Drosophila melanogaster: one gene and its partners. The protein of the gene in region 3 binds, or shares a complex with, the protein of the main gene of each other region. Each region holds a gene or a part of one and is shown on either strand. Other genes may lie near its edges.

Region 1 (7,754 bases), on a different chromosome or scaffold from region 3:
ACTGGAGCAAGTGGTAGCGCAAATCGTAGACGGGCTTCTTGGTGTCAGTAGGTGCGTCCCTGTAGCTGGGCTTTGGGGGCTCCGCATAGCACTCTTCCGCTTGGAAGGCGTCGTTATAAGCATTGAGTGCATCGGTGATAGACGATGTTGGGGCTGTGAAATACCATAGCTGCAGGGCCAGTGCTGTCAGCCAGTTTTTATTCTCGAGTAAGTTGATGGCCCCATGTGAAGACTGCATCATTGGCGCTCCGGCGGCCAGCATGTACATCTTAAGGCGCTCCAGATCGATATACTTATCCGACTTGCTCTGCTGCCAGGCAAAGAGCTGCTCCTCCATTAATAGCCGGAAGACAGCTCCGGAACTTAATTGGGACAGCACAAGAGCCAGATTAGCATCATCGTAGCTGAAGGCCAGCTCACAAGCCTCATTTACGCGATGGCAGCTAAGTAAATCCAACATGTGCTCCAGGTAGCTGTGGGTGCTAACTTTTTTCGAGAGTAGATCTTTGCCCAGCAGCGTGTTCTCAAGCCACTCGGATAGCAGATTGCGCCGACACATGACCATGTAATGAGAGTTCTTTTCCAGGTCCACCAGTTCATCGTGATCGCCCCATAGTGCGAATAAAAGCGACCACACTGACACGCTATAGTCCTCTTTTAAGCCAGCATTTCTCTGCTTAAGAGACTCGGAGAAGTGCTTGGAAACTAGTTTCGTACCGCTATCGGGATGTATACACGGGCACTCACTACCCTCCACATTAACTGAGAGGCAGTCGTTAAGCTGAACTTCGAGATGGGGAATGATACTTTCTCGAAAACCCTCGTTGCCTTTGACCATGTTAAACTCCACCAACTGCATTACACTGGGCGACAAATCGGTGGCCGAGCGCGGCGCAAATACCATGGAGACGGGCAGGGATGGTCCAGTAACTGAAGCAAAGGGAAATTATTATAATTGGACTGCTACAGCTTGTTTCAGATATTCTTACATTCTTTTAGGTTTTGCATGTTATTATAGGTGCTTGGCAGTACCAATGAGTTTTGTGGACCAAAACTGAGCTTAAAGCTGCGTCCTTTGTAGAATCCCAAATCGGCGATCCAATTATCGCGCATCTCATAAGCGATGGACCTGGGTAGGGGAACCGTGGTGGCACGCAACTTAATCGGAGCCACTTTGGGCTTACAGACAAACTTGAAGGCTTTAGTGACAGGCATTTCAAACTTCGTTTCTTTTACAGCTGCAACAATGCTTCCAGTTGCCATCGACGATGTCTGAAATTGATCAGGATGTTTATTGGGCTTCAAAGTAAAAGGTTACGTCGATATACCTCCTCATAATGTGCATCACACATCAGGCTGGCCTCAGAGACGGAGGAAGAAATCGGCAGAGCGGGCGATGGGTGTTCAAAATCGTACTGACTGGAACTCTCGGAGGCACCATCTTTCCAAACAAGAGGTTCCACGTTGAAAAACTTGCGATGACGAAGAAGACGCCCCGTAGTCTCTGTAGAAATTTATGAGTAATTTTCAAATGTATAGTGGCCGTGTGGGATGATAAGCAGTGAATTGTTGTAATTATAATGAATTGTTGCCAAAGCAGGCAAAATGAATTGGATTTACTAACACATTTGAAAGCTTTATTAACTTTATAATTTGTGCTACCTTTTTAAACATAAATATATATATATAATACTTTTTGCAACGATCAAAAATCATTAAATATCGTTGATAATTAACAATACATATTTGCTCAAAACTAACGATTAACATTTAAACATCTACATATCTTTTACTGTAAGCAATTTGAAAGACCATCAAGAGATTATCCACCTACCCATGGGTTCGTCCTCGGGAGCATTGTCCTCCACAAAGAAGGATGACTTCATTAGCTGCATTTTGTGCGCCTCGTTGCCTACCATTTCCTGAGCCAAAACAGCTGTGGGACTGGTAATCGTTGGACGTTGACGCGGTGGATCAAACATGGAGAAATCGGAGTTGCCACCAGCTTGGAAAAATTCTGCGAATTAAAATTAAGTAAATTACAATTAATGAAACTAAACCTTTTAAAATGGACTTTAGACGTACGTGTTTTGTCCATTAAAAGGAACTCGGCGGTATCATCCATTGGCCTGAATCCGCTGGCAACACCTGCGACCAAGGCTTTTGGGTCCAAGTTACGGGCTGCATCTTCTGAAATCTTCTGCGCTTGGCGCAGCGAATTGAGCGTCATCTTTTCTGCGTTTGCCCGCTGCTGAGCCTCAAGCGTTGCAATTTTGGCTTTTTTCGGGTCAGTGGGCAACTCGTCCTCTTCGTCGCTGTCTCCCAGGCCATATTTAGAAAAGTGCTTGACGCGGAAGACCCAACTACCCGTTTCCGGGCGGTATTCTATAAAGCGCGTATCGTTTTTATCGCACACCCGGCGCAACTTGCCCTCCCAGTCCATCTCAAGCAAGCGTTGTGGGTCCTTGATGGCTTCGTGCTTGGTCTTGTCCAACGGCCATACTTGGTCCAAAGTGACCTGGGCGTCACGGTTTAGACCTTGACCAATGGGCGGCTTGTTTTCGTCGTCGGGATAAATGATAATCTCCTTGTTGCGAAAGTGGACTGTGATACAAATTGTTTTGCATTAAATAAATGTATGAGAGCAAACACAAACGGTTATAAAAAAACACAAGACTCTTACCAATCTCATCGAGGTTCAGGCCAGCCACATCCATTTCCTTGCCGAAGAAGACATTGCCGTATCCTTCCCGACCCACCGTAAAGTTCGGAACCACACAGGATCCGTCCTCGGCCAGATAGGAGCGTAGGTCGTCTAGCGATGGAATTGTATAGTAACCCACGCGTCGCAGCACAATGCCTGTTGGATGTGATTCGTCGTCTGCTGCCTCTGCAGCAGCTGCCTCAATGGCTAGGCGGGATTGGTTTGCTGCAGAGTCCTCTGCCTCATTAGATCTGTTCGAAAGCACACTCTCATTGGCCTGCTGCGAAGTGAAGGTTTCGCGACGTGCAATGGTGCTGGATTGATCCTCAAATGGATTCTCTGGGATGGTTGACACCGAGAGGCGAACGGTGGAGGATGGTCGGTATGTATCTAAAGGTTTACGTGGCACAAGCTCGTTGAGGGTGCTGTTATGGGGCGATCCCTGATCCATTCCAGTCTGAATGTTGTGCTGGCGTACCTTCTCAAGGTTGTTAGGATGCAGCCATGACTCACGGCGGCCGTTATCCTGACTTTCCCGTCCATTCGTTGCTCCAGGCGAGTTTCCAGCTGGTGGTAGCGGCTCACTTGGAATGGCTCCGCTAAACGACTCGCGTTCTTTGTTGGGAGTTGCGCCTTTGGGTCGAGATTGGGGCGTGTTGGGAGCACTGCCAATAGAGCTAGAGGGATTTCCACCCTCTACACTTTTTACTTTGGGTTTGATAACTAATCGTTTAGCACTGGGCTTCAGATTGAAGCCCTCTACAGAAGCATCAAACTCCTCGAGACCATCAAACAGCGATTTTCTATTAAGTGTGCTGCCCAGCGCCTTTACCTTCATTGGAGCAGGATTGTTGCTGGTACTTATCTTGTACTGGTTGCTGGTCAGGTCCAGAACTGCTTGTTGGGCAGCAGGATTTGTAGCTCTTGTTGCATCTGCTTCACTGCTTAGCTTTAGATCCTTGAAAATCGGAGAGTCTCCGTAGGGAGAAGTTACCCTAGCTAGGATCTGCTGATGAATGGGCTGGTGTGAAGGCGTCATGATACCCAGTGTGGGCTGAGCTCCCATAATACCACCAGTTAACGAGTTGTTTGTACCCATACCGAAGCCTCCTCCGCCCAAGGAACCACCGACACCTCCGAAACTGGTAGTTCCTCCTCCAAACAGTCCTCCCGTTGGGGCAGCACCCGTGCCACCCAAGGTTGTAGTACCTCCTCCAAAAAGACCTCCTCCCGGCTTGGCTGTATTTCCGAAAAGTGATCCGCCCGTGTTGCCTGCGTTGAAATTAAGTGGTGCTGCGCTGGTGGCTCCAAAACCTCCGAATCCGGACGTTGCTGGCTTGTTCAATCCCGAGTTAAAAAGGCCTCCTCCCGTTGCTGCTGTACTGGTGTTCAGGCCAAAATTTGAAAACGGAGTGCTAGCCGTGGAGGTTGCGCCGAAAGTTGGAGCAGCAAAGCTAGTGGCGGGCTTGTTTCCGAAAAGGCCTCCGCCGGCGGTGCTTGTTGCTGGAGCTCCAAATCCAAAACCTGTCGTGGCTGCTGATGCAGCCGTTCCCAACCCAAAGGCTGATTTATTTGGATCGGCGGCTGGTGTGGCACCAAAAAGAGTTGACTGTTGCGTTGCTCCGGCTGTGGTTCCAAAGCCTCCGAATCCTGTGTTAGTCTGTCCGAAAGCAGGAGCCGCACTGGTAGCAGGTGCCTGACCAAAGAGGCTTCCTCCCTGTCCAAAAGCAGGCTTCGCCCCAAATGGATTTGAAGCGTCAGCTGCGGGAGCGGCAAACGGAGTGGTGGTGGTGGCTCCAAAGGGCTTTTGCAGAAAGTTGTTTTGCTGGGTTGCTGCTCCGAATGCATTGTTAGTCGCCGGTTGTTGGCCAAAAGCGGTGGTGCCAAACATGCTCTTATTCTCGGTCACAGTTTGGCCAAACAGACCTGTGCTTGGTTGGGCAGTGCTTCCAAACAGGCCACCACTTGCAGGCTGAGCGGGCTGAGTAACCTGAGCTCCAAATCCAAAAGCTCCCGGAGCATTCCCAGCCTGTGGACCCTTGCGCCCGCACATATAGTCTTCCAGGCGGAGCTCCTCCAGAGATTTGCCCTCGAACTCCTTCATAGCCGTGATGCAGTGCTGCTTAGTGTTCACACTATTTGCCTGACCGCTCTTCATCAGGGTATCTGTACCAATGGTTGGCTGGTACTTGGCCACGGCCGTGCCCGTATTGACTCCGGAAGCTCCCACGGCCGTAGCCTGAGGTTGGGCAAAGGCGGAGGCGGTGCCACTGCCAAAAACATTGGTGGTTGTAGGCGCCGACGTCCCAAAGCCTCCGAATCCTGTTGTACTGGTGGCGGCAGCCGGTTGGCCAAACAAAGAGCCCGTGGGCTGAGCAGCAGCTGTTTGCCCAAAGGCCGTCATAGTCGGCTTGGCGGCTCCAAAGGCGGGTAGCGTCGATTGTCCAAAGAGGGAGGTGCTTGCCGCCGTCTGGGTGGATCCAAATATGTTCGAGGTCTGTTGCGGCTGCGAGAAGGCTGCAAAGAAGAAATTACTAAATTAGTAACATGATACCACTTCAAATGATCGTGTCTAACCTCCAAAAGCCGTGGGCTGAGCTGTGGCAGTGCTTCCAAATCCCGTGGACGTGTTTGCCCCGAATAAGCCTCCGGCGGGCTGAGCTGGTGTGGCTGCCGCACCGAACAGTGACTGCTGCGCGGGTTGGGCGGCAAAGGTGGAGGTGTTTCCAAAGGCCGGTGCGGCGGGTTTGCCAAATGCCGACTGGCCAAACGGAGTGGTTGTTGTGGTGCCGCTGAATCCGCCAAAGCTGGTGGCCGCCGGAGTGGCTCCGAAGCTGGGTTTCGCGCCGCCAAACATTTTGCTCGCTGCTGCTGCTCAGATAACAAACATATACTAGGTAGATCCCCTGCTTTGTCCTTCGCCGGAATGCCAACTATCGCGATGAGCAATGCTTCGATTTCACCACGTTGGGCAAGCTGGGGCGGCTGCGCCGGATGCGAAGGTTGTGGGACCGGACAGGCTTAGCTTAAAACAAATAAACACTCGCGAATTTGTCAAGTCAGCAGGAGTCGACCGAGTCTGACGCAAAAAGTGGACAGAAATGGCGCGCCGATTTTTTCACGATGTTGAAGAAAATGCAGCCAAAAGTGTGACCAAGGCGTGAAATCGCATGCAAAAATACACTGTAAAAAAGCAGGATACAACTGCCAGGCGCATAACTATTGACCATAACTTATTTATGGTCTTAATAAAATTTTTGCTTGGTGCCTCCGAAGCAAATTTACTATGAATGTGTGGAAAATGTATTTTATAACTTGGGTTTCTCGTATTTTGTAGGTAAGCTCGATTTTCACATTTTTATGTGACCGTACTGCGAACAAAGTGAAAACCCATTTGACATCAACGGTGTGAACACGCTGTAAGGGGCACTCTATATTTGATATTTTCGATTGGGAACAGTACGGTACTTCTGGGCATCGAGCACGCTCATTCACAACAAACAGTTGAAACGCGCGGGTTGTTTTCCGAGAGCGGTTATTTAATTAATTGGCAACTGTCACACACGAGTGTGTGTGCGATCGAGTGCGTGTACATGTGATAATTAGCTGAGCGGCAGCGGCCAACTCCCAGCCCAAATACAAGTCGAGAACAAAACGAGCGAAAAACGGCGCAAAATGCATTTGCGGAGCGACAATTTGTGCGGAATGCTAGCTTTTGTGCAATAATTATTTATTGGTTGCAATTGTCCAACCGGTGTGCTTTTCGTCGAAATCTGTAGCGAAATCGGAGGCGAAATGCTTGTGTTGGCGGCATTGTGAAAACGAAATCAAAATTTCAACTACGTGTTGCTCTTTTGCCGTTGCCTAATTTAATGTCTTGTTGTTTTTATTTTCGCAAACGAAAGTCCATCGCTTTGCATGTGTGAGTAGCGATCGTTTGTCGCCGTGTTGGTGGTAAAAGTCGGCGCAAAAACAACAATATCAGCAACAACACTAGTAGAAGCAACAACAACGAGAAGAAAAGCCTTCAAGATGAGTGTGTGGAGCGACTGCAATGCCAAGCAGGCAGAATTCGGCATTGGTAAGTTGGCAATGCGGCTATTAAGCCGATAAATTAGGTAGAATATGGCTAGGCAGGAATGTTTAAACAAAGTGCTTTGTAAACAACAATAAAGGAAAACTTTATGAACTGTTGGGCGCTCTTTTCCAGAGCACACCTCATCTCCACCCCCACCTCTCTCTCTAACTCTCTCTCTTATTTCACCGCATGTGTGTGCCTCCTGCTGCGTTGCTACGGTAAAACTTGTTGCACCTTCTCGCTTGCACACGCTCACTCGGCTGCTGTTGATCCTCCCTTTCCCGCTCTCACTGTGTTGTTTCGTTTTTCATTTCATTTCATCCTGCTCAGTCAACACTAGCATAAAATTCTGAGATTTGCTCTTGAAACTAAAACCTGTTTTCTATTGTCTCTCTCGCTTTTCATACTGTCTCTGTCTCTCACGTGCAACTGCAACACACTGCCAGAAAAAAGGCCTGGTACACATAAAGAAATTTTATACAATTAATGTAATTTTACATAAACTTAAATCTGAAGTACTACAACATTAGTACTACAACTTTTACGTATTTACGGGTGTGGGATTTGAAACCTGGTCTTTGTAAACCCAAGGCAAGCTGCATCAAGCTGACAGTAGAAATGTTTATTTTCTGTGTACACTGTGAGACAAATCCCAATTCAATGGCAGTGACCATGAAATATCTAATCGCGACCCGCTTCGAATGCGTGTGAATTTTTTATGGATCTCGTTTTGTTGACCTTTTCACCGCTGATCAATAGATACGACAGGTACATAAAGTACAGGTACCTCTAGTCCCAGGTAGATCGAGTGGAACTGGGAATCTCGTTCGTTAACACTCGAATGGAGCTTGCCGGTGTGTTTGCACTTGTTATTTACACACGTTTGCCTCTGCCTCTGCCCTTTTTTGTGTTTGCGCGTTTACTAGCTGTCGAAATCGCTGCGAGTACGAGTATCTGATAGTACCATTGGGG
Region 2 (4,537 bases), on a different chromosome or scaffold from region 3:
GGGCAGATGAAGTCCCCGGACCTCGTCCAAAAACTGCTCATACTGTCCAATCCTAAACATTTTCTCGCTAAAATAGGTGACGGCTTCCTCAGCCAACGACTGAAGATCTTGCCATGCTGCCGTTGAGCCGGCGGATCCGTACTTAAAGACGCGGACATAGGATTCCATCTGCTGGTTGTGTTGGTGGCGTAAAATTGAAAATCCTTGCCTGTACAGGGTATCGATACGCGCTTCTAGAGAAGAACGATCCGATCGGGAATTTAAAATCTTTCCCAATTGAAAAATGATGATGGCATCTGCTTTTGGGCCATTAACGCCGCGCACCGCTTCCAATCCATGTTGTAGTTGAGCTCGTTGCTCGGCGCGATTGCCTTCAGTGATAAGCTGGTTCGAGTTAAGTCGCACCACCAGATCCCACCAGTTACTTTGCTCCGGTGCGCCTAGTTGACCCACTAGATTGGCAAATGGCATCATATGTGGCCGGGCGGCAGCATTGCGGTTTCCCAAATTGGAGGAGTCATACACCTCACGCTGGATTTGCAATTTACGTCTGGTCTGAATGGTTGTGGCATAAAGGTAGAGGTCCACATCTACCTGGCTGATTGAATCTTGCCCACAGTAGTTTAGATTCTGCTTAACATCCCGTTGGAAACCCTCATAAAAGACCACGCGTGGCGCATCTCCAAGTTTGTTCGGGTCGGTGCCCAGAGCCAGGTAGACATGTTGGGCTAAGGAGTGTGGCGGCAGCACCAACGCTTGCAGTTCGTAGTTCTCGATATGCGCCAGATTCGGCCACTCAAAAAGAGGCAGCTGCAGACGCAGGTTCCGCACCAGATGCGAAGACGTATCCTTTAGCTTGTGTTCGGCGTGGGTAAAGAGCTGTTGGTAAATTTGACTTCGCCAGCTCTTGTCCAAGCATTGCTGGTGAGCGCTGGCCAACAGCTCTTCGGAGTCGGCAAATAATCCCGGCATAGAATTTCCCGAATTCTTATTCTCATCAAACTCGGCATTTTCTCTATCGTTTTTAATTTCCATTTGTGACCGGTCCAAGCAGCCCAAAAGGGTTCGTCCAAGCTGGGCACATCGAAAGGCGCCCTGAGGGCGCCACATCTGTATCAACTGCTTCTGTTCCGCGTCGCAGTGTTTTATCCATTGGTTGGTACTCGAATCATCGATCGGTCGCACCTGGTAACCAAGGAGCAGAAGTGGCAAAGCGGAGCGAAGCGTGCTCATCCATTTGTTTTTGTTTGCCAGAACCTCACGTTTGAAAATCAGTGTCACCGCGTGAAGCAGAAGCTGGCCGGTAAAGTGGTCAATACAAGCCTGGTGGAGATCCCGCTGCGGAGCGTCCCCTGACCTCTCTATCGAAGTGCTAAACTTGAATAGATATTGATCAAGTCTGAACAACTGCTTGCTGCTGTCTGCCAGTCCACTGCCCTCCAGGCTTAGCTGCACGAGACGATCGAGAGTGTGCAAGGCGAAGTGCCAAAATCGCCAGTTCTTCTTTACATCCTTGGCCATTTCTATCTTGAAAAGGACCATCCAGATCTGCTCGTACCATTCGTTCGACTGGCTCGTGCAGTTTTTCGACTCCAGTTCCGTTTTTAGAGCATAGTTGAAGGCCTGGTCTATTTTCATTTTTTCAACATAGCTGCGCAGCAGTTGTATGCGTATATTAACATCCTGGGGACGCGCCTGCAGCTCCTTGTACATAAGAATCTCGAGGGTATTTTGCTCGCCGTCTCCGCCACTGGTGTCATCTCTTTCGCCGTTACTGTCCGCAAGATTTACACGCATTCGCAGGTTGAAGACTTGCTTGTTGCCGCTTAAATCAAGGCTATTAGCCTGATCCAACCAGTACCTGGCGCACTCCGTGATCGATGCGTTGTTCTCCTTCACCAGAAGTTCGCAGGCGTCAATGACAACCTCTGACTGACGCGGATCAATTTGAATAGAACGTTGGTAGTGCTGCAGGGCCTCTGTCACATCGGGCGGGTTCAGCCTACTGTAGCAAGTGGCAATCATGTTATGGCCTACAGCGTCGTCCCTCACCCGGAGATAGCCGTTCAAATACTCGATGGCTTTTGGGTATTCCTGAACTTTCATGTACAATCGAGCTACAGCCAAGCCTTTGATATCGCGCTACAATATACATTTTATTGATTAGTACGTTAGGTTCAAAAAAGTCTGTTAAATTTTTAGACAATCACTGTGAGCTGGATAAGAATAACTTTGTAAGATTTGACTTATTGTGTGCTTATTATTTAGATAGAGCTACGTTAGACCGCAAAAAATCATTCAAATCCACAATGGAAATTCGAATTATTTTTGGCGGTCTTACAAATTCAGCGCTCACTCTAGCAGATTGATATGGTACACATAACCTCAAATATCTAATTTGATTTATACAGAGAAGGCGAAAGCCATGCAGCTGCGAAAAAAGCGTTCTATTTGTCAAGTATATGAAATGCAGCCGTTGAAAGAAAAGCGCGCAATTTCTTATTCAATCTCAAAAACGACGGCCAAGTGACGCCGACTCACACACACAAACACAAGCAGACGCCGCACGCACACAACGGTGTGCTTTCAATGGCGGCGCCTGAAGATTTCGCAATGATTTTCTTTTTGGAAATTCCGATGCACACTTTGGCCGTTTATTTACCTCTCTTCCCGGCTGAAGTTTTCCCAACATTTTGTGGACGTGTGCGTCCACTTCTTTTCGCGTTGTAAACATATCTGTACTTTTTTAAACACGTCCAATTTGCAGTGGACGAGACCTTGCAAAAATGTGCTTCGCGTTAGATTCTTCTTCACTCGTCATCCGATTGAAGCAGATTCCTCGAACGGTTAATTGCCCCGGCCGGAAAATCACGTAGATTCGGATGGGCAATTCCAGTCGCAACAAACTGCACTCGTTTGCGGTGTAGATTGGAACGTAAATATCACTAAATTCCAATTAAAACTTAAGCTGAACAGCACGGAAACCAAAAAATTTGTGCAAACTTAGTGCTGGAACAAAAAACGATGACTACGCGTTTTCATCGATGGGCGCGAATATATCGCGTCACCGATGTTTTAATGACTATAGCAACTATCGATTGCTACGATTTTTTTTCGAACAAACAAATAAGTATAAGGGATTTAATAAATAAATTAAAGAAGGTTCAAGAATAATATAAAACTTATGATAGTTTAACGAAATTATGAAATATAAATATAGAAATAGAGTGTAGATCATTGATATTCTTCTGATAAATCTTTTTTATATCATATTTTTTATATTCTTTTATTTATTATTCATACAATTTTATATAAATTACTTCATTTGCACTTTCCAGAAGAGCAGTTTCCTATCGGAAACCGCACTAATGTACGGCAATCGCTGGTGCCAGGCCATTCCCCCATAGGATTTCAGGGAGGCCTCCAGCAGAGGAACGGTCGACTTGGCCGCGAACACTTTGAGAGTCAGCCCGATGACCATGGCGATAACCATCTCGGAGCTGCCTGGCGCGAAGCGCACCACCCGGCCGCAATCCTCGTGGACCTGCTTGACATCCGCGGGCACATAGGGTCGGTTCAGGTCCCAGGTAACCACATCTCCGCCGGCCAGCGAGGTGATGAAGAGCCGGTTGCTGTGGGCCCAGTCCGCCGACATCAGGGGGAATTTGGGCGACTCCACGGAGATGACTGTCTGCTTGAGCGTCACATTGTATAGATGAATGATGCCTGCAAGGAGTTTCCTTAGTTACACCGCGGGCTAAACACTGGTAATAGCAAGCACACCCTTCTTTTCCGCCACAAGAACCTTGTTGGGATCCTCGGGGTGACTCTTGACGGACATTCCAGCGGAGGACAGGCCAAAGGTTATGACATTCTCCCCGCCGCCTGTCGTCGTCCAGAATCTGCAGGTGAAGTCATCGCTAACGGAGGCCAGCAGTTCGCCGTCGCAAACCCAGGATACATCGTTGACGTAGTCCCCATGCCCACGGAGCACCTGGAGCGAGGTGAACTGGCCCAGATCGGTGCGGTATAGTTTAAGCTGGCTGCCGTTGGCCGCGCACAAAGTCACATTGTTGGGCGTGCAGTTGAGCGAGGTGTCCGGCGAGAAGGCCAGTGCGCTCACGCTCCGCTGCTCCTTTTCGCCCAGGTCCATGTCCTGCAGGCGTGTGTACCCGAACTCGCCGCTCTCCTCCTGCGGATTAAGGGTTAACCATTCAAAATCATTCAACCTTCACTGGTCTTATGCATGGAAACCCACCGGCAGTCCAACGAGCAGCAGACTCAAGTGTTTCCTGAAGGCCACTGCGATTAGGTTGTAGGCAAAGTCATTGGTGCATATATCGTAGCAGTAGATGGCTTCATTAAGCTGGATGCTGTGGTCGGGCTCGATGACAGATCGCATCTTTCTATAAATATTGTTTGTTATTCGCGGGATATATGCAACAATTAGCCGGCGCCAAAAAAATGTTTATTTTAGTATGACCAAAAATCAGTGGAAGAATTTTCCAAGATTTTACACTTTTAAAAAACAGAATAC
Region 3 (5,312 bases):
TGCTGAACAAAAGGAACACATTGCCATGGAGGCCAAGACCGACGCACCCATCTCACCAGCGCCCACAACAAATCCGCCGGCAGAAGCTGGCAAGGAGCCAAATGCAAGCAGCAATGCGCAAGCAAACCCGACCGCTGCGCCGGGAGCTCCTCCATCCGGAGCCATTGCCGTTGGCCAGTCCACAAATCCAGTGGCGCAGCAGCAACAGCAGCCGGCGGTGGCCAAGAAGCCCAGTAGCGAGACAAACAACATGCCCACGCGACAGTACCTCGACCAGACGGTGGCGCCGGTTCTGCTCCACGGAATGCAGGCCCTGGCTCGCGAACGGCCCACGGATCCCATACAGTTCCTGGCCTCCTACCTACTAAAGCATAGCAACGGGTGCGACGAGAACAACGCCTCCGCCGCCGCCGTGGACAACAACTCCTAAGCCCTCCATCCTACCTACCTCCCATTTGTCCCCCTCCTTAGTTGTATAATTGAACAGTGAATAAATAATAAACGTTTAAAGTTAGAATGTAATCGCAAAACACACAAATGTACTAGGATTGCTAAGTTGTTATAGGATAGCCCCATGGATCCAGTTTCGAGTTGAGCAGCTCCAGGGAGGCGTCCGCGATCTTGGCCAGAAGCTCTGCCAGCTTGTGCTTCGTATAGACTTTGTACAACTGCCGATTCTCGCTGGATATTTCATCTGCCAGGCGCACGCAACCCGCAAAGTCTCCCGACTTGAACATCACTTCGTTCAGAAACAGGGCGATCTCAGGAATGCAGATGGAGCGCAATTTCTCCATCTGCAGTAGGCGATGATCCCAGCTCAGCTGCACGGCGTTCTCGGGCAGCTTGGCGATGAACGGATCCACCAGCCAACCCTTGTCCGGGAACATGAGCACATTGTACAGGAGTTCGATGGTTTCTGCAGGGAAAGAATGCGGGTTATATGCCAAAAGATCTCATTAATGGGTATGCGATCCACTTACGCTTGGCCTGCTCCTTAACCTTGTGCTCCCAGCGCACGACTTCCGATCGGTGAGCCTGCTCCTTGCGCTCACTCGCCATGCGCTCCGTGAAGTTGTCCTGCGAGGAAGCTGCGTGTGAAGTCTGTGGCTTCTTGGGCCTGTTCTGCTGCAGGCGGTTCCATTCGACGAAACTGTCGACGCCAGACAGATACGCCTTGTAGCAGAGATACTCCTTCAGGCAGCACTCCTCACGCGGTGGTATGTTGTCCACCGAGCCGTACAAGCTGACTAGTTGCTGCACTATGTCGGCCGGCACCATGCGGAAGGTCTGGCGCATGCACTCCACCTTGCTGCTGGCCAGATAGGTGCGTATCATGGCGTTGGCCTGCCACAGCAACTCACCGCGCTGCTCCGGCAAATGGATTAGCCACTCCAATGCTGAGATCTTGCGCTGATCGATTGCAGAGATCTCGCCGGACTGCGGCTCACCGAATTCCCCGAGTGGCTGATGTGCGAGGCGAATATTCTGCACGGTGACGCGTGTGATCTGTTCCACATCCAAGCCCGCCTGCAGGGCGGCATCCACAGCTAGCTCCCGCGGACGCTTCTGCTCCACTTGCTCCAGAAACCGCGAGTAGAGCTGAACCTGCAGCGGATTCGAAAGCGATGCAGTATAGTAGGCTATTAGCTGCGGTTCGCCCCTGGCAATCAATGCCTCCACATATGCGGCTACGATCTTCTCCGCCTGTCGCTCCTGCTCCACACGGCCGATTTGACGCAGGAAGAGCACTATGTGGGCCATAAAGCGCAATTGATGGGGCGATTGTTGGGAGGTATCCTTCTCCACCCAGCGCACCATGTGTTGGATCAGCTCGCCGCAAGTATCCAGGATTAAATGACGCTGGATAATGCCCAGTTGACTTTGGGCGAAATCCCGCACCGACGCATCCTTGGCAACGTTCAGTTCCTCGAAGATCTGCTCCATCGTCATCCTGCCGTTCCAGTAATCATCGGGCATCGGTTGGTAGTTTTTGAGGCAGCAGCCGCGTATCTCCGATTCCACACGGATGTCGATCTGCACCTTCAGATGGGCCCAGAGCAAATCGTGCCAGTTGCTGTGCAAAAGGGTTTTCAGCGAGCCCAAGTGGCCGGAGAAGACACCCGCCGTCGCGCGGCTGTACTCGTCATAGTTCTTGGAATCGGCCAGCATCCACGCGCAGCGCTTCCAGATATCCCTCCTGGGATTGCCCTCGATGGGCAGCTTTTCGTGCAGCACCGAGACATTCTGCTCGAAGTTGGGATCCTCGTGGAGACGCCAGCCCTCAAGGATCGCCGCCCGCCACGTCTGTCCGAAGTGCTTGCACAACTTGAGGCCATCGTCGACGCGTCCCGCTCGTATCAATTCGAAAATGGCGCGGGACAGGCGCAGGTTGTCCTCCTCGTCGAGGGCGTGCAACGGTCGTTTCTCGCGTACGGGAGCATCTGGATCCAGACGCGTTACGATCTTATGGCCCTTGCCAAAGGCGGCGCCCTGCAGGTTCTCCAGTTGGAAGAGCGTGTTCTCCCACGCCATCATACGATCGTGGGCGTGGAGTGGGTTTTGTTGCTCCCCCCGGTCGTAGCACGCCTCCAGCCAGTCCACCACCAGCTGGTACTCACGCAGCGTCGCATTGAGGGCGTACAACTGCTGTATGACCTCCTTCTCGCTGCCGCCGAGCGTGGGGCCATCTTGCATCTCATCATCCGCCTGCCTGTCCGTCTGCAGCAGGATGCGGTCGTAGAAGAGGGCGTGCAGCAGGCGCCACGTGTTTATCTCCTGTCGCAGCCAGGTGAGCATAGACTCGCGTTGCCGCGCGCCCTGTTCCCCACCCATGCCGTGATCGATCTCCAGCTCCAGCTGCTCCACCACGCCGCGACAGACTTGCGTCAGCGATTGGATCACCTCGAATGCCTCCTGCCCGTTACCCTGAGCCTGCAGCACGTCGAAGAACTGCGGGAAGAGCACGTCCATGCGGCTCTTGCCCCGATCCAGATCATCGCCGGTGTCCTCCATCAGCGAGAGCTCATTCTGCTCCGCGTTGCTCTTCTCGAGGATGAGCAGCGAGTGGGAGAGATTTTGCGGCGGCATCGAGCTGTTCAGCGTCGTGCGTAGCAGGCCACTGCGGCTGCTCCTCGGGAACGGGCTGTCGGCCATGGCTGCACTATGCGTTTCTTGGCTATCAGCTACGGCACATCAATTCAATTAATTTAATCAAAACAGAAATTCACGCGCTATTCGCTAAAAATGCCGGGAGCGTTCAGTGTTACCAGATGACGGAACAGCAAGAAAGCTCCCTTGCACATACACTTGTAAATAAGCGATTCTCACTGAATTCAAGCAAATTTCGTAAGAAACAAATTGATTTAAATTGTTTACATATCTAGTAATTCGGCAAAGCTGCTAAAGAATAAGGTACCAGCATTCCGTAGAATCATTAGTATGGGGTACCTCCATCGCGTACCGCAACGGCGTACCTGAAATGAGTACCACAATCGCGTAAAGAAATTCAAAAGGCATTTCAAATATTAAAGATCGATAAAAACGTTTCTTAACGAATTAAATATTTTAGATATAACAAATTCTGCTACTTAATGTTGACCGTGTACAAATAAATCCCAATGATCAGGCCGTAGAGACCGAGCACCTCGGCGAAAATAAGGATCAGGATCATGCCGATAAAGAGGCGTGGCTGCAGGGCAATGTGCCGCACGCCCACTTCGCCGACTTCACCCACTGCATATCCGGCAGCCAGTCCAGCAAATCCCACCGAAAGTCCAGCGGCCAGGTGTACATAGCCGGTGGGCAGCGAGTATTTGGGAGCAGGCGCTAGTTCCCCAGATAGGAGCACGGATACCACCAGACCGTATATGGCAATGATGCCCGCCATGACCACCGGAATGATGGACTTCATCACCAGCTCGGGACGCATCACCGCTGTGGCGGCGATTCCAGTTCCGGAAACAGCAGTTCCGTAGGCCGCTCCAGCGGAGGTCAGCACACTGGAGAATACGACGCCCATCACGCCATAGAACGGGGAGTACGGCGGATAGCGATCCAGCACGATTGGCGATATACTGGTTTCCTTCAGCTTGAGACTTTCAATCAGCCCCGGCACGTCCACCGAATTTGATCCGTTATACACTGGCAGATAGTAATCCATTTCCATTTTGGTAGCCTTTTTCGTATTTACTTGAAAAGGAACGATCCACGTTGCTTGCTTTCTGGATTTTCCAACTTGTTAGTCTGACTAGCCTGTAGTTTGGCAAGAAAGAAAATCCAAGGGGAACGAGATGAGCAGTTTATATTTAATATTAATATTATTTAAGATGTTAGGGCTCAATTCAATAATTTTAGCAACTTGTTAAGTGAAATTAAACACTAATAATAAAACTTGCTTAGATTTAGGCACTCGAAATTAAATTAAATATTATTAAATGTTTAAAACCTTCGAAAGATGTAACAATCGATTGCGGTTTGAATTTGAAGCTGCGCGGTTTATCGGTCATCATGCTGGCGACGTGCACGAAACGCTTGCATGACGATATGCTGCCGTCCAATCGTGCAAGGGCCGCCCAACATAAAACATTTTTCTTTTATTTGTTGTACGCACGGCGAAGACGCTTGCAATTGCGATTTTGGCTCTGCAGAATTGCGATTGGGCGATGCGCTGCATTCGCTCGAGTCGCAGCTCCTGGCAGTCGCAGCTAACCAGACAACGGGTCGGAGGACGGTACGCGATTCCGGCGACCCACGGAACCGAGCAGCCAAATTCAAAAACAAGCGAGCACCGAAAACAGGAAGCAAGTTATTCGCATTTCGCTGGCGGCGCATAAAATGGAACGCAGTGGACGAATGTGGACGAGAGCCCTGAGAGAAACACAAAAGCACGGAACCTGAGCAACAGCACACACCAGTGATATAATAGTAGTCTACGGAACCCCTGATCCACGGCACTTCGCATCTAATCTCACCCAAGGTACGGCATTGATTTTTCTCCCCGCAAACGCGCATTTTTATTATAGAGAAAATGTTCACACGCTCGTCGCTTGTGTTCCTTGTGATTTTTGTTGTTTGATTTGCACAGCCTTTTGGCAAGATGGCCGTGCAGCTGAAACAGAGCTACCACCACCTGCCCCTGACGATCACGCCAATCCTGCAGCAGACGCACCTCCTGCCGCAACAGGCACCCAATCCACCCCAGCAGCAACCGCAGCAGCCACAGCCGCCGGATCTCACCTTCCACTGCATGTGCTGTGCGGAGTTCTTCGTCCATCCGCTGGCGCTGTACCAGCACATGAACACCCTGCACCCCC
Region 4 (7,871 bases), 390 kb from region 3:
GGCAAGACAAGACACGGTGGCCTAGTCCCGGAGCAGCTCATTGCTCCAGGCTGCCTGCTCCCGCTCCTCTGATTGAATTAGTCGCGGCTCCTGCACGCGAAACGAACTTCCATTTGCTATTTGCATAGGAATAGTCATCCATCAACAACAGCTCCCAGCGACATTGATTGGCAACGGGCTACGGGTTTTTACGCCTCTGACGCCTGAGCCTTTACAACCATCTATTTGCCTTTATGATTATATATTTTTTTTTTTGGGAACACGTGCAATTGCATGTTATTGAAATTCGGATTACTTGGAATAAGTACCTGTCGTTTACCCTAAAAGTTTTTATGTTGCCAACCTATAAAGTGCATGTGCCTGCATATATTTAGATTACCTTGTGTTTATGAATTATTTTAAACATAAAATATGTTTTGTTAAGTTGCTAGAACAAATTACCGCACAATTTCTTTAATCTATTCCCATGACTTTCGAATCTATAGAGATACTTTTAAAAACAGCAATTGCATGACGATCCAATATTAAATTCTAATCTCTTGTTGAATCATTATAACAAACCAATCATGAATAAATAACAAATATAAGATACGTATCAATCATAAAAGCTAAACTATGGAAACCAGCTTGTTTTGAACTTTTACAACTTAATTATAGATTTATTTAATGATTTGAAATAATGTAAACTGTCAAATAGCTACTTATCAACGTTGCTATGGAAATAAAATGCTAACATAAACCTGTATCCATATTCAGCGTCCTCTGGTTGCCAAGACATATAATTATTTGGCTAATAATCACTTACTAAAACATTTTTAGTTCCACAAATGAATTTAAGCTTCTGATTAACATGCGATTGACCTTATTTCACAGCATTTATTGAACTCTCAGGCAGAACTTTAGCCACTTTCCGTGGCTCCTTGATCGTGGTCTGGGGGCACTGCATCTCGCTCCAGCCGACCGGCACCATGGGCACCCGGGTCTTCCGGTAATCACTGGCATAGGCGATGACCACGCCGAGTTCATTTTCGGCGGTGGTCAGGAGGAAGGACTGCTCCAGTTGGTTAATGACCCTCGCCAGGATGACATCGCCCGGCCGGAAGGACTTGTAGATATCGACGCGATCTTTTTCGGTCTCCCGGACATCCTCCTTGCGCAGAAGTCCGCGGTAGCTGCTTTCCAGCAGCACATTTCGTACGCAGAAAATGGCGCACTTGGCGAATTTTGGAGTTGTGACGAGAACTCTGGCTGTGACCACGTCTCCGGTGGCTGGGATGGTTAGATGAAATCCGGGCTTATGCACACTAACCACCTGGCACTGAAATGGAGATTAATTGGTTCCCAGAGTCAACGAAATGCCAGGATTACTTACTTTATCACCCGAATCTTCGATGTTGACAATTCCAGACTTGGAGGCGTAAATGTAGCCATTCTGCTCGTAGGTGCCTATGCCCAGGACTATGCTGTCCTCGGTTCTGCAGAGTCGCTCCCCGGGCAGGCAGACTACAGTCTCATCCTGCTGTTCACTCATTTTTAGGCCAGAGACAGTTTTTATTTTAAAAAATAAACTAAATAATAAAGCCGCATCAACAAATGGAAACACACGTGCAATGCAGTGTGACCAATATGTGGCAATTGTTAAAATGCTAGCGACAACTTTCTTAATATCACAAGATTTAAAGGCATCTTATATCATTCCTGCTTTGCTATAATAAACTTTATTGTCATGAAATTACATTTAGGAAAATGTACAATTTTTAACTAACTTCTGTAATTAACTTTTGTATGTGAGTATAAAAAGCTATGTCGACTATTTTGCCTGGTGTGCACCGCTGGCGTAAGCGTTTTCCAACACTACTACTGAGCGTGTTTACGCCGGTGCCGCCAATAATTTTCCGTTTTCGTTGAGGTTTTTATATTAATTTGTTGTGCTAGCAAGATGCCCACATCCAAACTGCAAGCCAACATGAGCTACCGCGAGGTCATACCGCGGAACCTCAGTCCGGCGGAGTGGATCGAGGTGAAAATTAACACGGGTGAGTTTCGTGCAAGATTGCCAGAGAAATTCTGAGTAACCAAATGCTCCTCCGCAAAATGTAGGAACCCAGAGCACTTTGCAGGATTTAAAAACCTTCGAAACCTCCGGCGGCTATTGCTACAAGAATACGAAAAATGTTCAGACCAGAAACCGTTTCATATATTGGTAAGTGCAAATCAGAATCGTTAAATTAGTTTCACATGGCCACTGATTTGCAGGCGGACATACCAGGATGTCCTGGAACTATCAGAGGTTAGTTTGGACATCTCCCTGCAGAGGAATCACCTGCGTCTGCGATTCACCGACTCCGCTGTGCTGAATGTATCACTCACGGAGCAAGGTACATCCGTCACCCTGCTGGTGGTCACGGTCAGCAGTGTGCATCGCTATGTGTTTCCCTTGAAGGTCGCTGGGCAGGAAGGTGGCGCAGCTTCTCCAGAGGATCTGCTATCCCAGTCCATTTTCTACGACGTCAATGACAAGATCAATGATCCCAGCACTTACTATGTCACGGATGGCTTTGGAACTATGCCCAACGCGGCTGTATCGTACCTCACTCAAGACTCCCAGTCAGCCTACTTTGCGGTGGCGTATCAGAGCAAACTACTGCTTCACGTTATGAAATGCTCCACCGGCCATACTATCACCCACGAAATCAAGGAGCCGAAGCTAATGCCATGGTTTCTGTCGAATCTCAAGGGTGCCCTCACGTAAGTGGATAAACCTCGATAAATGGCAAATCCCTAATGTTTCATTAATCATTGTAGCGGCCGCTCTGAAACGTTGGAGGCAGCCACGTCCATGGCTTTCAGTGAAATCGGGGGGGAAATTTTCATTCTGGTTCTGTATCGCAATAATGAGCTGCGTCTATGGTCAGTGGATAACTTGCAGACTGTAGCCAGCATTAACTGCTCCACCGAACTGGGACAGGACTCAGCAGCTCAAGGACGTGAGTATAAAATATTATTACGATTTAGATTTATGATCTAGATATAATGGGATTATATTCTTTTTTTTAACAGCACAAAACAGCCAGCTCCGAAAAATAAGCGATCAAAACTTCTGTCTATTTCTCTCGCACAATTCCCGAGCTGAGTTTATATGCGTTAGCATAATGCCCGATGCCGACGATGCCAGCGTTATCAATTTGGTGCAGAACATGGTGCCGGCGCCGCAAACGGATTTGGTCGACTTCGATGCCACATCCTCGCACATCTGGGCCCTTTGGAGCAACGCTGAAGGCGATTTCCATGTCTCGGCAGCATATTTTGCCTCCAACAACGCAATCAAATGGGTTTCGGCTGCTCTAGAACCGCCACCGGATCGGTATTGTCTCACCATGGAGCAGGGAGTGGATCCACGCGAAACTTACTGCAGCTATATATTTCATCCTGGTCGATTTGACCGAAATGTAATTGCCAAGGCTTTATATGTGAGTATAACCAAAACATTCTTTATTATGAATTATTGGAATAGTTTAGTAATTTGAATTTTTTGTATCGTAGATGTTCAGACGCGTTAACCTGCAATTCGATGTAAAGCAACTTTCCATGTCAGTGCTCAAGGAGCAGGTATGCCAGGCCGTGGAAGATGAAATCCAAAACGAACTGAAAGACTTTGTGGTCACCGATGAGGAGTACTTGGAGATATCCACTCGGCTGTGGGATCGCTTTTACTCCTGCTGCGAACAGTATCACATTAAGCTTTCCGAGCCGACAGGACTCGCCGTTCTTGGTGGAATGGATGCAGTATGTTTGGTTAGAAGGCAATCATTCGCATTGCTGCGCCCCTGCGAAGTGCTCGAGCACCTGTTGCTCATCGGCGAGCATAACGATGAAGTGGCGACATATGTGGCGCCACTATTTCGCAACGATCCCGAAATGGCCAAGGGTTTTGTGGAGCTCATGAATGTGGTGACACTGCTTGATAAACTAATTTCGGAGGACATTAAAATCGAGCTAGATAAACAGCTTTACCAGCGGGAGTCACCGGTTGAAGTAATATCTAAGCTGGTGGCTAGAATCAGTATGATCGATGATAATGGTCCAATATTGCCATCAAACTGTGTGAGGCAAATCCAACAGAAGCTGCAGAATATACCAAATCTTGAACCCGCTTTGGAAATGCTGCTCGATGTGCTGTGTATGATTGATCCAGATGAACCGCCGCATGGTAAATTACTTATAAATATATATAATGTTTGAAAATGATTCATATATTTCATTTCTACTTTATAGATTACTCCCTTTCTACGCGCTTCTTGCAGTCGTCTGGGGCTCTAATGGGTAGCGAATATGGACTTTCTATTTTGTCCGAAACAGTGAAGCAAATGGCAATGATACGGTGAGCTTTCGTAATAGTTTAAAAAACTTTGAACTTGGTTTATCATTTATTAAATCATGTGTCCCTAGGTTTTCTGTTTGCCGAAACCTTTTGGTATTGCAGTACATGGCTTATGGTCAGAACGAAATGGAAAGCGAAAATGTTTTAACAAATTTAAATTATTTGAACTCATATTATACACTGGTTTGGATTGCCGAGACACCCATTTCATCGAGTACCCCAGCTGGATTGTAAGGATATATAATTGATTGTATTGCACAGTTCTAACTTCTATTTTAATTTTAGCGAGGCATCTATTCAACGATTGAGCCGCGCCCAACTTTTCAGCGGCTATAATCGACCATACTCCAGCCATCTGAAACATAATGGGAACGATCAGACCACTCTGCTCCGACTGTTCCTGGAATCGAAAGGTCTGTTCAGCGCCTTGACTATGCTGCTGAAGCATGACAGTTTGTCGCTGGACTCGGAGCAATTGAATCTACGCCAGTCTTTGCTCCAACTTGTTGGATACATCAATAAGATGCTGTGCGTATAATATATAGAAAAATTGATCATGTTTTAAGTTTCAAACATCTCTTAGTTGGCCGGGATCTCCGATTTACGTATTTCCGGAATGGTTATTTGGGACCTGTCATCACATCATTGTTCAGGATTACGTGCGCATTTTGTCAAACTGGTGTTCCGTACAAAAACATGCCAGTATGCATTATTTGCTAGTTTTCCCAGCTTTGAAATTAATCCTTTTTTTCCGCAGGACGCTTTATGCTAGCCGTATCTCTATTGGATTGCGGTGAGGCCCACAAGGCCGTGCATCTCTTTCACGAGGCGGAGTCTGGCATTGTGGAGGATGACTTCCTCTTTGAGCATGTACTGAAAAATACCCCTCTATACGGCAAATTACAGAATAGCGTCAGCCGTGGCGATACAATTTCCCCCGAAGACACAAAACTGGCAATTGTTCACTACTATCTTAAGGTTATCCAGCTCTTTGAACAGCATTCCGCATTGGACTACATTATTCAACTGGCTGACATGGCCATTAGGGTGCTGCAGCCAGATGATCCTCAGTTGCCCATGTTCCAGTCAATAGTGTTCAATAATCATCTGCAGTTGGGACACTACGTGGAGGCGTACACCGCCTTAGTCAACAATGCAGATATTTCAAGGCGTAAGGATTGCCTTCGCCAGTTGGTCATAACGCTGTTCCAGAATAAATGTCTGCCACTGCTTATGCAGTTCTCCTACATCGGGTTGCAAGACGAGTTCGAGAGCATTGTTGAATCCCGGGCACGATCAATGAGCATCGATCAGAACGAAGTCTACAACTTTTTGTATGCATTCCATACGAACAAGGGTAACATGAGAAAAGGTTTGCATAAAAATTACTTTATTTTCTTCCATTTCTTCTTGCATTAATAATTTGTTTCCGAACAGCTTCTACGGTTATGTATGAGCAGGCCATGCGGTTTCAAGTAGACAGCGATGCACCAAACGCGCTAGAGAAACGTTGCTCCTCGCTGTTAATTTGCCTAAACTGTTTGCACCTAGTTGACAGCCGCTACAGATGGATTGCCAAGCCTGTTCTTGGTGATGAGCAGGTGATTACCATAGATCAGGATAACGACGATGGTGAGCCCAAATGTGACGAGGACAAGAGAGGCCAGGAGGTGGTTGTTCTAGAGCTGGCTGATATCCGAAGGGAACTGGTGCACGCAGAAGCTTTACGTGAGCTTTCCTTCTACCGCAAAGATACAGCTGCCTACGAGCGGGCCACACCCGAGGAGCTATCATACCTGCTGGCTAGTTCCGGCCTGTACACCGCGGCATTGAAACTTTCGCGGGGACACTCGTTCTCTGTGCTCCCCATATTCGAGAGTCTGACATCCGCTTGTGTTGCTGCCACTGAGGACAAGTCGTCGGACGCCTGGAACTGGCTGCAAAACAACGACATGGCAGGTAGGGATTTTTTAACGTGTATGAAAAAAAGAGGCTTACTATATGTCTTATAACAGATCTACCTCATCGAAGTAATGCTGCCGATATGGCCTGGACTTTACTTCAAAAACTGGTTGTGGATAACGAGGCAAAAGACTCCACCTTGATAAGAAAGAGCGTGGTTCAAAGGCTTCTCGGGTTAAACGCCTTCTTGCCCCAGTGGCTGATAAACTCCTACAAGTTATCCCACTCCCGGGAACTGCTCCACTTACTTGTGAAACACAATCGTCTGCTGGAAGCCGCAGATCTGGGATGTGAAATAATCGCCGGCATGCTGGGAGCAGGTAGCGAGTATTTCGAATTCAAACACGCGGTGAACATAGCAAACCCACAGCTCTGCTTCCCCATCAGCACGATCGATTTGCTGCTGCACGGTTTAAAGATTAATGGCAAGGATGATCTTGATTATGAAATGGTAAGTCATACATATAAATTTCGTTCTACTCAAAATACATTCCAATCATATTCCAAATCTATTCCTATTTTAGGCTTACTTTAAACTCGAAGAAGAAGTTCAAAGATATATTGAGACCATAAAGCGCACCACCGATGATAAGATGAGCATGGCCGTTCTGCAGATGCGAACGGATCTTCAGGAAGAACGTTAATAGTTCGTTTAAATCAGTTTATTTAATAAGTTTTTTGAATTAAATGCTAAAGCGTGTAAATCGTTTAAAAATCATCCGTCATGTCCAGCTCAGAAAGGAACTTTTTATAGATGTTCATAAACTGAGCGACGAACGCTTCAAGATGAAAAATGTGCTTGGCGCCGGACTGCATCCGGTGCTCGTACTCGGTGGCGAACTCGAGCGTCTTTGCCTTGATGGACATATCACAATTGTTAACCAGCTGTTCGACCAGGCCGCGGAATATGAGATTAGGTGGAACGCCTTGCGTGAGTAGCTCGTACAGGCGTTCGCGGATCTTCTCCAGTTTGGCAGGCGTTTGCTCACTGATAATCTGAGATGCTGTCTCACGCAGGAACACCTGCCAGTCCAGGTCGGGAATCTCCTGATTGGCGGTAAACGGCGCCTTGGCCACCTTGGCGGCCTCCAGCATCAAAAGTGCTCGCCTGAGATTGCGCTCCGACTTGTCCACAACCCGTTTGGCCAGCTCCACGGGCAGTGCGAGTCCCTCCCGCTTGCAAGTGTTCTGCAAGATGGACACGATCTCCGTTTCGTTGGGAGCCGCCACCCGTATGCCCAGGCAACGCGACCGTATGGCCGGAATGATCCGAGATGTGGAGTTCACCGATATGATTATCCGGCACGTGGCCACATATTTCTCCATCGTACGGCGCAGGGCGTGCTGGGCATCCTTGGTGAGTTCGTCGCCCTCCGAAATTACAATCACCTTGAATTCCCGTTGGCCACTAATCTCAATTTGATGCGTCTGGGCCACCTGCTTGATGAGATCGATCACCACCGTGCGGTCGTACATGCCAGCGTCGGAGGGATTCACCTCCAAGTGGTAGTTGCTGCTGACCGTCATC

What was found.
Region 1: Nup107 (region 3) and Nup98-96 share a complex: the UniProt entries of both Drosophila melanogaster proteins name them as parts of the nuclear pore complex.
Region 2: Nup107 (region 3) and Nup358 share a complex: the UniProt entries of both Drosophila melanogaster proteins name them as parts of the nuclear pore complex.
Region 4: Nup107 (region 3) and Nup160 share a complex: the UniProt entries of both Drosophila melanogaster proteins name them as parts of the nuclear pore complex.

Annotation. Positions count from the first base shown.
Region 1 is NT_033777.3:23,775,604-23,783,357, forward strand, and holds the start of Nup98-96 (nucleoporin 98-96kD), read right to left. Parts: upstream 6,019-7,754; 5' UTR 5,562-6,018; coding exon 5,282-5,561; intron 5,222-5,281; coding exon 2,684-5,221; intron 2,605-2,683; coding exon 2,086-2,604; intron 2,018-2,085; coding exon 1,835-2,017; coding exon of another isoform or gene 1,815-1,834; exon of another isoform or gene 1,613-1,814; intron 1,505-1,612; coding exon 1,329-1,504; intron 1,273-1,328; coding exon 990-1,272; intron 931-989; coding exon 1-930. Other genes in the region: mbc (myoblast city), read left to right, coding at 6,737-6,785. UniProt on the Drosophila melanogaster protein: Part of the nuclear pore complex (NPC). Required for MAD import as part of the Nup107-160 complex and required for nuclear export of Moe probably via its association with Rae1. Plays a role in nuclear mRNA export.
Region 2 is NT_033777.3:25,247,828-25,252,364, reverse strand, and holds the start of Nup358 (nucleoporin 358kD), read right to left. Parts: upstream 3,018-4,537; 5' UTR 2,735-3,017; coding exon 2,663-2,734; intron 2,143-2,662; coding exon 1-2,142. Other genes in the region: Nup37 (nucleoporin 37kD), read right to left, coding at 3,317-3,726, 3,784-4,192, 4,259-4,402. UniProt on the Drosophila melanogaster protein: E3 SUMO-protein ligase. Component of the nuclear pore complex (NPC), a complex required for trafficking across the nuclear envelope.
Region 3 is NT_033779.5:10,732,793-10,738,104, forward strand, and holds Nup107 (nucleoporin 107kD), read right to left. Parts: upstream 3,280-5,312; 5' UTR 3,154-3,279; coding exon 981-3,153; intron 917-980; coding exon 552-916; 3' UTR 501-551; downstream 1-500. Other genes in the region: Dpy-30L1 (Dpy-30-like 1), read left to right, coding at 26-430; Vha16-5 (vacuolar H[+] ATPase 16kD subunit 5), read right to left, coding at 3,584-4,165; CG12299 (uncharacterized protein), read left to right, coding at 5,096-5,312. UniProt on the Drosophila melanogaster protein: Plays a role in nuclear pore complex (NPC) assembly and maintenance. Required for nuclear import of Mad. Mediates the association between the nuclear pore complex and a subset of active chromatin regions adjacent to lamin-associated domains.
Region 4 is NT_033779.5:11,121,940-11,129,810, forward strand, and holds Nup160 (nucleoporin 160kD), read left to right. Parts: upstream 1-1,837; 5' UTR 1,838-1,939; coding exon 1,940-2,036; intron 2,037-2,100; coding exon 2,101-2,203; intron 2,204-2,256; coding exon 2,257-2,748; intron 2,749-2,805; coding exon 2,806-2,987; intron 2,988-3,060; coding exon 3,061-3,470; intron 3,471-3,543; coding exon 3,544-4,210; intron 4,211-4,275; coding exon 4,276-4,381; intron 4,382-4,449; coding exon 4,450-4,611; intron 4,612-4,666; coding exon 4,667-4,909; intron 4,910-4,964; coding exon 4,965-5,083; intron 5,084-5,138; coding exon 5,139-5,753; intron 5,754-5,818; coding exon 5,819-6,340; intron 6,341-6,396; coding exon 6,397-6,794; intron 6,795-6,867; coding exon 6,868-6,987; 3' UTR 6,988-7,051; downstream 7,052-7,871. Other genes in the region: Csl4, read right to left, coding at 863-1,318, 1,373-1,531; RfC38 (replication factor C 38kD subunit), read right to left, coding at 7,052-7,871. UniProt on the Drosophila melanogaster protein: Functions as a component of the nuclear pore complex (NPC). Involved in poly(A)+ RNA transport. Required for nuclear import of Mad. May play a role in double strand break DNA repair. Essential for nephrocyte development.